Cricetulus griseus: one gene and its partner. The protein of the gene in region 1 purifies or fractionates together with the protein of each later gene. This does not show direct contact. Links are inferred from orthologs where the notes say so. Each region holds a gene or a part of one and is shown in the gene's direction. Other genes may lie near its edges.

Region 1 (3,758 bases):
AGTTCCTCACAATGACACAATATGTATTAATTACTAAAGAAAAGGTGACTGTTTCTCATCCAGACCAGAGGATGCTTAAGTGAAAAAGAACAATGAAATCACGAATCCTCTGGTGTCACTTGAGGCAGGTATTTTCCTCTTCCATCTTATTTGAAAGTAATTAAACCACAGACTTGGCTTATCATGGGATAAACTTGGTGAAAGAAAGCCTGACAGGGTAAGAAGATGTCATGAAAGGGATGCTGCAATTATGGGATCATGTCCGTATAAGAAGCAGCAGAGGCTGGAGTTCTCTATGCCACTAACAGCATGATACGAGGCAGACATCTGCAAATCTGTACCTCACCATATGTGTAGCCATCTTGTTCTTGGATTTCCCAGGCTTCAGAATGTTAAGAAATAGGTGCTTGATGTATGAGTTACCTAATCTACCATATGTAAGTACAGCACCCTAAATTAAAATACTGCTCCCCTGTGAGACAGAGTTGCTCAATAACTGTTACTTACTTTGGCTGCGTGTGCAGATTACTGATGGAGGGTTGGAGACATTATCTGCAAAGTGCCATTATCTGCACATTTTGGATATCTCTGGCTGTATCCTACTTACAGACCAGATCCTTCAGGACCTTCGAGTTGGCTGCAAACAACTCCGGATCCTCAAGATGCAATTCTGCAAGTCCATCTCTGTGTAAGTAGGCAGTTAGATATGAAGGCCTTGGAAATGCCAGGATAGCACGGCATGTGGCTATGCCATTCGTAACCTGTAACCATTTGTATTTTCACTAATTGAAACCAAACCAACATTCTGAGTTGAACCTGGGATGCCCTTCTAAAATTAACTTCATAGTTTTAGATTCCTTTCATAGAGGCCTTTCACTTTCAGCACCTTCCTCCCTATGGTCAAGTAGGCAACCAAATTCTGCCCCTTGTCACCTAGCTCTAGCTCTGCCACTGAACTGTGGTCCACTCAGTCTACCTCCCTGAGAAAAGCAGCCCACTCACCCCAGACTGGAAGAGCCTGTGAGCAGGGGAAGCGGGCCTCCTTCTGAAGCCTCACTGCTCACTACTGAGACCACAGACATACTAATTAGTTCTTTCACTGAAGCTGCTTGTGGGTGGAAGGGTGAAACAGCTGGGGTAAGTGGTACTGGAAGCCAAAAAAAAAAAAAAAAAAACAGCAAAGAGAAATGCATATTCCACCGTGCACTTCCTATGCTGTGGATAAACACTTGGCTTACTATCGCTCTTTTCCTGTGACACTGCCTGCCACAGCAGTGACCAAACCCAGCCCACTTCTCTGTACTGGGTCAGCAGCAACTTCCTTCTCAGGATTTTTCTTAGTCCCCTACTATTAAGTTTTTAATACCATAATTTTTACAGACCCTCTTGTCATGTGACAAGATGGATAGCTAATATATTGCACAATGCACTCATAACTTTTACAGTCTAAAACTTTTAAAAATTCAAGGACCACTAAATTTACTCTAGCTTGTAGCTGAATGAAGAACCGTATTAACAGCCCACATGTTACACCTTCCCAAACTGAGCAATGAGTACTTAGCTTCATATCAACTAGTCACAATTCTTTAAAACCAGTGCTTTCAGAAACCACAGGTAACATATAAGTTGGTCAACTTTCAAGTCCTTTGCTACCTAAACATGCATAACCTTTCCCTGAAAGTCAAGGACACCGCTGTCTTGGAATATAGTGTCCTTGTCTCGAGTCAATGCCAGCAGCCTTGGGCGTTTTTCTTCATTATTTTAGTTTTCACTGTAGAATACTTAGTTTTCATTATAAATGAAAACTAGTTTTCATCTTACCTACCTAGTGAAGTTTATTCCTAGGCTGTGTGTGTGTGCACATACCTGCACACATGTGCATGTGTGGTTTGGATTTTTTATTTTTAGTTATCATGAATGAGATCATTCTCTAATTATATATATATATATATATATATTTATATATATATATATATATATATACACACTCCTGGGCTTTGGATGTTGATTTTTGGTAACTGGATATTTTACTGGAAGTGTTTTAGATTTAAGAGTTTTTGAGAAGAGTCACTAGTGTCTTTTAGTGCATGGTCATATTGTCTACAGATAATTTGATTCTCCTTTTGTCTTTGTATTCCTTTCATCTCTTTTTCTTGCCTTATTGTTTTGGCTAAGAATATAAACATAATAATAAGAGTGAAGGGGTGGACACTATTGTCTTACTTCTGCTTTTAGAGGAAATGTGTCCCCCAATTAGTGTGTTTGTTATAGGTTGTCATATATAGTCCTTATTATGTTGAGGTATGCTCCTTCTGTCCTTAGTGCTTTTTGGTTTTGAGTTTTTATCATAAATGGATATTTATTGCTGTCAAAGGCCATTTATTCACCTACTAAAATAATCATGTGATTTCTGAGTCTCTATATGCCCTGTATTACATTTACTAAAATAATCGTGTGATTTCTGAATGTCTTTATGCCCTGGATTACATTTACTGGTTTGCATGTGTTATGCCGTCGCTACATCGCTGCCATGACACCACCTTGATCATAGTATGTGGACTTTTTAATGTGTTGAGGGATTTGACTATAAGTATTATGTTGAGAATTTTTGCATCTCTGTTCATTGAGAGGAAATGTGTGTATGTCTTCATGTATGCACGTGCATATGTATGTTCTTTGCTTCCTTATTTCTTCCTAAGTAATTCTAACAATATTTTTAATCATTTAATCATTGAGTCACAAGAAAAATATATACTGGAGACAAAACTACACAGGCTTTTAGAAAGTTCCTAGAGTTCGTCATACATCCACAGGGGTCTGTGAACTCTGGCGATGAGGTTCATTCTGACACATTAGTCTTCACAGGGAGGGTGGGTCAGGTTGTTCCTTCATCAAATAAACTGGAGCTGCATCAGGCTGAGCGCTTACTCAAAAGTACTGTAAATGACTTCAGTGTTCCTGCTCCTGGGCATTTATTAGAACATACAGCTTGGTAAGCCCTAACTGGCTGGACTACAGATACTTTTGCCTGGGGTGCCTGATATTTGCAAATTTCCCAACTTTCTCTAACAGGAAGCAAAGCTCTTCATTGAATGTGACTAGTGATAGTAAGTTTTGAATTCCAAACTCGGTCAAATTTGAAAACTGGAGGGATTCCTTCTGCAGTTCACTAACGCTCAGCACTGTTGTTACAGGGCAGCAGCTCACAAAATGTCCTCTGTGGTCCAACATCAGGAATACAGCTCTCGCAACCCTCCAAGATGGTTTGGCTATGACTCTGATGGCAATCGTCTTGCAGAGACTCATCATAGAATGCAACTCAGAAAAAAGACAGAACTGTTAGTCAAAGACACATTCAGCAGTGACGAGGAAAGTTCAGACTCCAACCTCAAATAGGGAAAACAAAACTTCTGGAACTGATAATGTTTCTTCACGCGATGTTAAGTTGCTGTCCCAATAACAACAAAAAAAGCAGCATGCCTCTGCTTCTTACTTCAAAAGCAAACATCACCTTTATCTAATGAGACTCCAAGGCAACCCGATAAAGTTATTTTTAAACATCTATTTACTTAATGTGAGTCTGTGTGTGTAGGAGTCCACAAAGGCCTGAAACTGGTGATATAGTTGACTGTGAGTGTTATGTAGGTGCTGGGAACCAAACCTGTGTCTTCAAGCCAGTAAAGGAATAACCACTAGGCCATCTCTCCAGCTTCAAACAAACTAACTGTGGACAAGATGATCAGATCTAATGTTACAAT
Region 2 (3,923 bases), on another chromosome or scaffold:
TGTTGATGAAGGGCTGGGAAGAAGCCGAAAAAAAGAAAAGACACTTCAAAGGCAGAACTGAGAGAATCCAGGGGCTGGGTATGGGGGATTGCTGCTAGAGGGAACAGAGTGGTCGAATGGGATACAAAAGTTTTGAATCTGGTTCATGGCTCCAAGGAAGGAAGGTAAACGGCCTACATTACATTTATAGTATGCTGTTAAGTTTCTCTGGCCTTTGTCAGTTTGAGAAACTGATGCTATGGCATTAATGTCCCCAAACTAATATTCTATGCCTTGAGGGAAGCATGTGTGATGGTTGAGGTACTGCTGTAGCTGACCGTGGACCTCCATTATTTCTGGAACAGTTCCAGGTAACACCACCCCCCCCCCTGCACACATTTCTGTTTAATGCTCTATGCATCCAACATTTCCAAAATCCCTGTAGCTTTTCTTTGAAGGAAGTTTCATCCAGGAATGGTCCTTCTCATGTGACTTTTGTGTCTGCACGTTCTAAAAGGGCACATTCTGATGACTTTTCTAGACCCAGAAAGTCCCCAGTTCATCATCTTGAGAACTACATTCACAAAGACTCGCCTGCATTGAGTTTCTAAGTCCCAGCCCCGTGAACCGCTGATACAACAGTCAGCATGCCCACTCCCCTTTCTAGGCCTCAGCTGCCCCAAATAGTCACCCCTGCAACCCGTTAGGCCAAATCTTTCCTGGCCCCATAGATAGTCTGTGTTCCCATCTCGGGTTTTACCATATCCCACCCATTCTCTCTCATTGTCTCCCGGCTCTTTTGCTCACACGCAGCAGCCTCCATGAGCAAGGCCGCAACTCTTACCCGGTTTAGGCACTCTTGCAGTCGACTTCAGCTTGTTAGCAACCTGCAACCAGCGAACTTCAACCCAAGACCAGACACCCTTTTCTACGGAGAGGTATGGGCCCATGATCAGCCGAGCTTCCTTCCTCACGTTGATTGGTCTAGCGCGGGTCCGGCGCAGCCAGTTGACGCTCACAGCGCGATTTTGTCCAATGAGATCGTCAGTCCTTGCCGCCACCACACTGCCCTCTTACCCTGGGGCGGACCTTGCCAGGTTAGCCCCACCTTCTCCGTCCGCAAACCAATGGGAAGCGGGTCGCGCGCGCGCAGAGCAGTGGGAAAGGCGCCGAGGCCGCGAGTACGCGTTGCCTTAACAACCGGTCGCGGAGGAGTCCATTCGGCGATGGTAAGTGCTGGGCGTTCCATGGACCCTGCGTAGTGCCTCCGAGCCCTTCCTAGGCCTCATTGCGGCCCTGCAGCCTTTCCTGCATTCTTCTTCGCTTTGGCGTACTAGTTCTTCCTTGGAGCTCTATGCCGGAAGGGTAGGAGAAAAAGTACAGCCTCTGGCCGCTAGCCTGCCTGCGCTTCAACACTTAACCCTCCCCGCCCCCAGTCACCTTCAGTCACCCCTAATCTGCCTGTTGATCTCTGCTGGTTTTCCTGGAACCACAGGTGACCATTCTGTTGCAGGTAACACTCAGGCTTCCCACAGACTCAGACCTCAGACAGACACAGGCGTCCTGGCCGCTGCCACCTGCTAAAGTTTATGCGTGGTACTAAGAGATTTACTATGTTCTGATGGTCACAAATGTATTGAGGCTTTCAGGAGATGCTTTGAGCTTCGCAGACAAGGCACCAAGTGCTAAATGGATTGGGAACTAGCATCCTAAGTTGATGTTTTAAGTACATGTCTAGAACTCAGATCCCCAGATTCACAGACAGTTGATATCTGTTAAGTATGCATAATTAGTTTCTCACCTAGCTTTCTTTCAGGATGAAAAATAAGGGGTTTCCTGGCCTCTAAAATCAATATTTTTTAAAGAGTCAGAGGTTCATAGAAACATTAATTGTTCTTTCCAGGAAACTTCCTTATTGCTCAATTTATTAGGCAGATCTTTAGAATCAGTTGGTATAAATTATTTTTCCATTAATCAGCTGTCTGAGTTAGCAGTGGCATTAGAACAAGGAGGGATCTTTTTTTTCATCTTTGGTAATGAAAACTTAAACCACACCGTGTTGCTTTAATTGAATATACAATATAGAAATTTGTGACAATCTATTCATAATAAAATTATAAGTTTATTACTTACAAACAGATATGGTCTCAAATTTGCTGTTTACTAGCTTTAGAAAAGAAGGAGAAAATGCAAGCATGTTGAACCTTTAGGTAAACATGTTATTCTCATTCAAAGAGTTTTTAATGTTGCTTTTTTTTTTGTTTTTTTTTCGAGACAGGGTTTCTCTGTGTAGCTTTGGAGTCTATCCTGGCACTCGCTCTGGAGACCAGGCTGGTCTCGAACTCACAGAGATCCACCTGCCTCTGCCTCCCGAGTGCTGGGATTAAAGGCATACGCCACCAACGCCTGGCTAATGTTGCTTCTTTATATTTAAAAGTTTTTGATTTAAGAAATCTTGATTTAAAAAATTTAATTTTCTAAAGTGACATGTCTATTAAAGGTACAAATGAATACACTATCTGTAGTATAAACTTGAAGACAGTGGAGGCCAGAATTATATCCTGTGATGAAAAACTGGTCATGTTAACACCAGAAATTCATATTCATATATTCATTTGCTCTATGTTGATCTATACAGGGACAAGGAGAAAAATGTTAATATATTATTTTAAAATGAAAAGTCCCTTCAGGCTGCTGGCTCCCCAGTGAAATATAATTGGATTTAATCATGTGAGACATTACATTATTAACAGAAATGATGTTTTAATTTACAGTTATGGTAGAACACAGTCATTTAATTAGTGTATTGCTGATTTTCTGTTTTTTACAATGTGATACTAAAAGCTAAAATATACTTATTAAAGGGGTTTTAAATTAAAGAGAGTTTTTCTATTTTTCTTCTCAGGATTTTTTTTAGAGTTGGGGTTAATTTTACTTAGTTTGAACCCTTGTTATTTGTGTAAGGGAGAAGGGGACTCAGTCTGAGCATGAAGGTCAGAGAACAACTTGGAAGAGTTGATTCTCTCTACCATGTAGGTGCTGGGTTCTCACTTATGTTGTCAGGCTTGGCAGCAAGACATCTCACCAGCTTATGAAAGTTTATAGAATGACATGTACATTACTCAGAGTGGAGCATAAATGAAAAATTTATGAATGTCTAGAACTGTCATAAATAAAATATGGACTATGGCTTATAATACTGTGCTTCTGTGTTTGTATAATGTCTGAAGGCCTCTACTTTTAAGAAGACAAACATGGCATCCAGTGGCCAGAGAAAAAGAATGAGCCCTAAGCCTGAACTGACTGAAGAACAGAAACAGGAAATCCGGGAAGCTTTTGATCTCTTTGATGCTGATGGAACTGGAACTATAGACATCAAGGAACTAAAGGCAAGCTGCACACATTCCTGTTTTGGTGCCTTGTGTTTCCTTGTTGTTTGTCTTTTACCTATCACCTTTCTCCCTGTAAAAAGTAACAGAAAAAGGTACCCTGTGTATATTTAACCTGAAACAATGATCTAATGATAAAAGTTGATTGCAAATATCAATTAAATCAGCTTTACAGTGTTCCCTAATCATTTTCACCATTTTGTTATTATCATCAATAGCCATTTTTGCGTCTACATCATTTATATGTGTTTATTTAGATGATCCTGTTTTCGTTGTAGGTTGCAATGAGGGCTCTGGGCTTTGAACCTAAGAAAGAAGAAATCAAAAAGATGATAAGTGAAATTGATAAGGAAGGGACAGGAAAAATGAACTTCAGTGACTTTTTGACAGTGATGACTCAGAAAATGGTAAGTTAGTTGAGATAATGAGCATACTTCCCATCCATAATGGTAGATACATGGGAATCTAGACATAAAAAGAACTTCATCCAATAAAATCTATACCATTCACATGATTGAGCATTGTATTTATAATTAAGAGGATCCCTAATTTTCA

The links.
Region 2: the proteins of Fbxl13 (region 1) and Cetn2 purify together in Homo sapiens (affinity purification with mass spectrometry; 3 studies listed by BioGRID and IntAct, counting the BioPlex papers as one, with this or other methods). This does not show direct contact. The link is inferred for Cricetulus griseus from reciprocal best matches to the Homo sapiens genes FBXL13 and CETN2.

Annotation. Positions count from the first base shown.
Region 1 is NW_023276806.1:173,022,830-173,026,587, forward strand, and holds part of Fbxl13 (dynein regulatory complex subunit 6), read left to right. Parts: intron 1-524; coding exon 525-688; intron 689-3,194; coding exon 3,195-3,396; 3' UTR 3,397-3,758. UniProt on the Homo sapiens protein: Substrate-recognition component of the SCF (SKP1-CUL1-F-box protein)-type E3 ubiquitin ligase complex.
Region 2 is NC_048604.1:2,887,265-2,891,187, forward strand, and holds the start of Cetn2 (centrin-2), read left to right. Parts: upstream 1-1,061; 5' UTR 1,062-1,106; coding exon 1,107-1,208; intron 1,209-1,213; exon of another isoform or gene 1,214-1,344; intron 1,345-1,363; exon of another isoform or gene 1,364-1,492; intron 1,493-3,209; coding exon 3,210-3,368; intron 3,369-3,646; coding exon 3,647-3,775; intron 3,776-3,923. UniProt on the Homo sapiens protein: Plays a fundamental role in microtubule organizing center structure and function. Required for centriole duplication and correct spindle formation. Has a role in regulating cytokinesis and genome stability via cooperation with CALM1 and CCP110.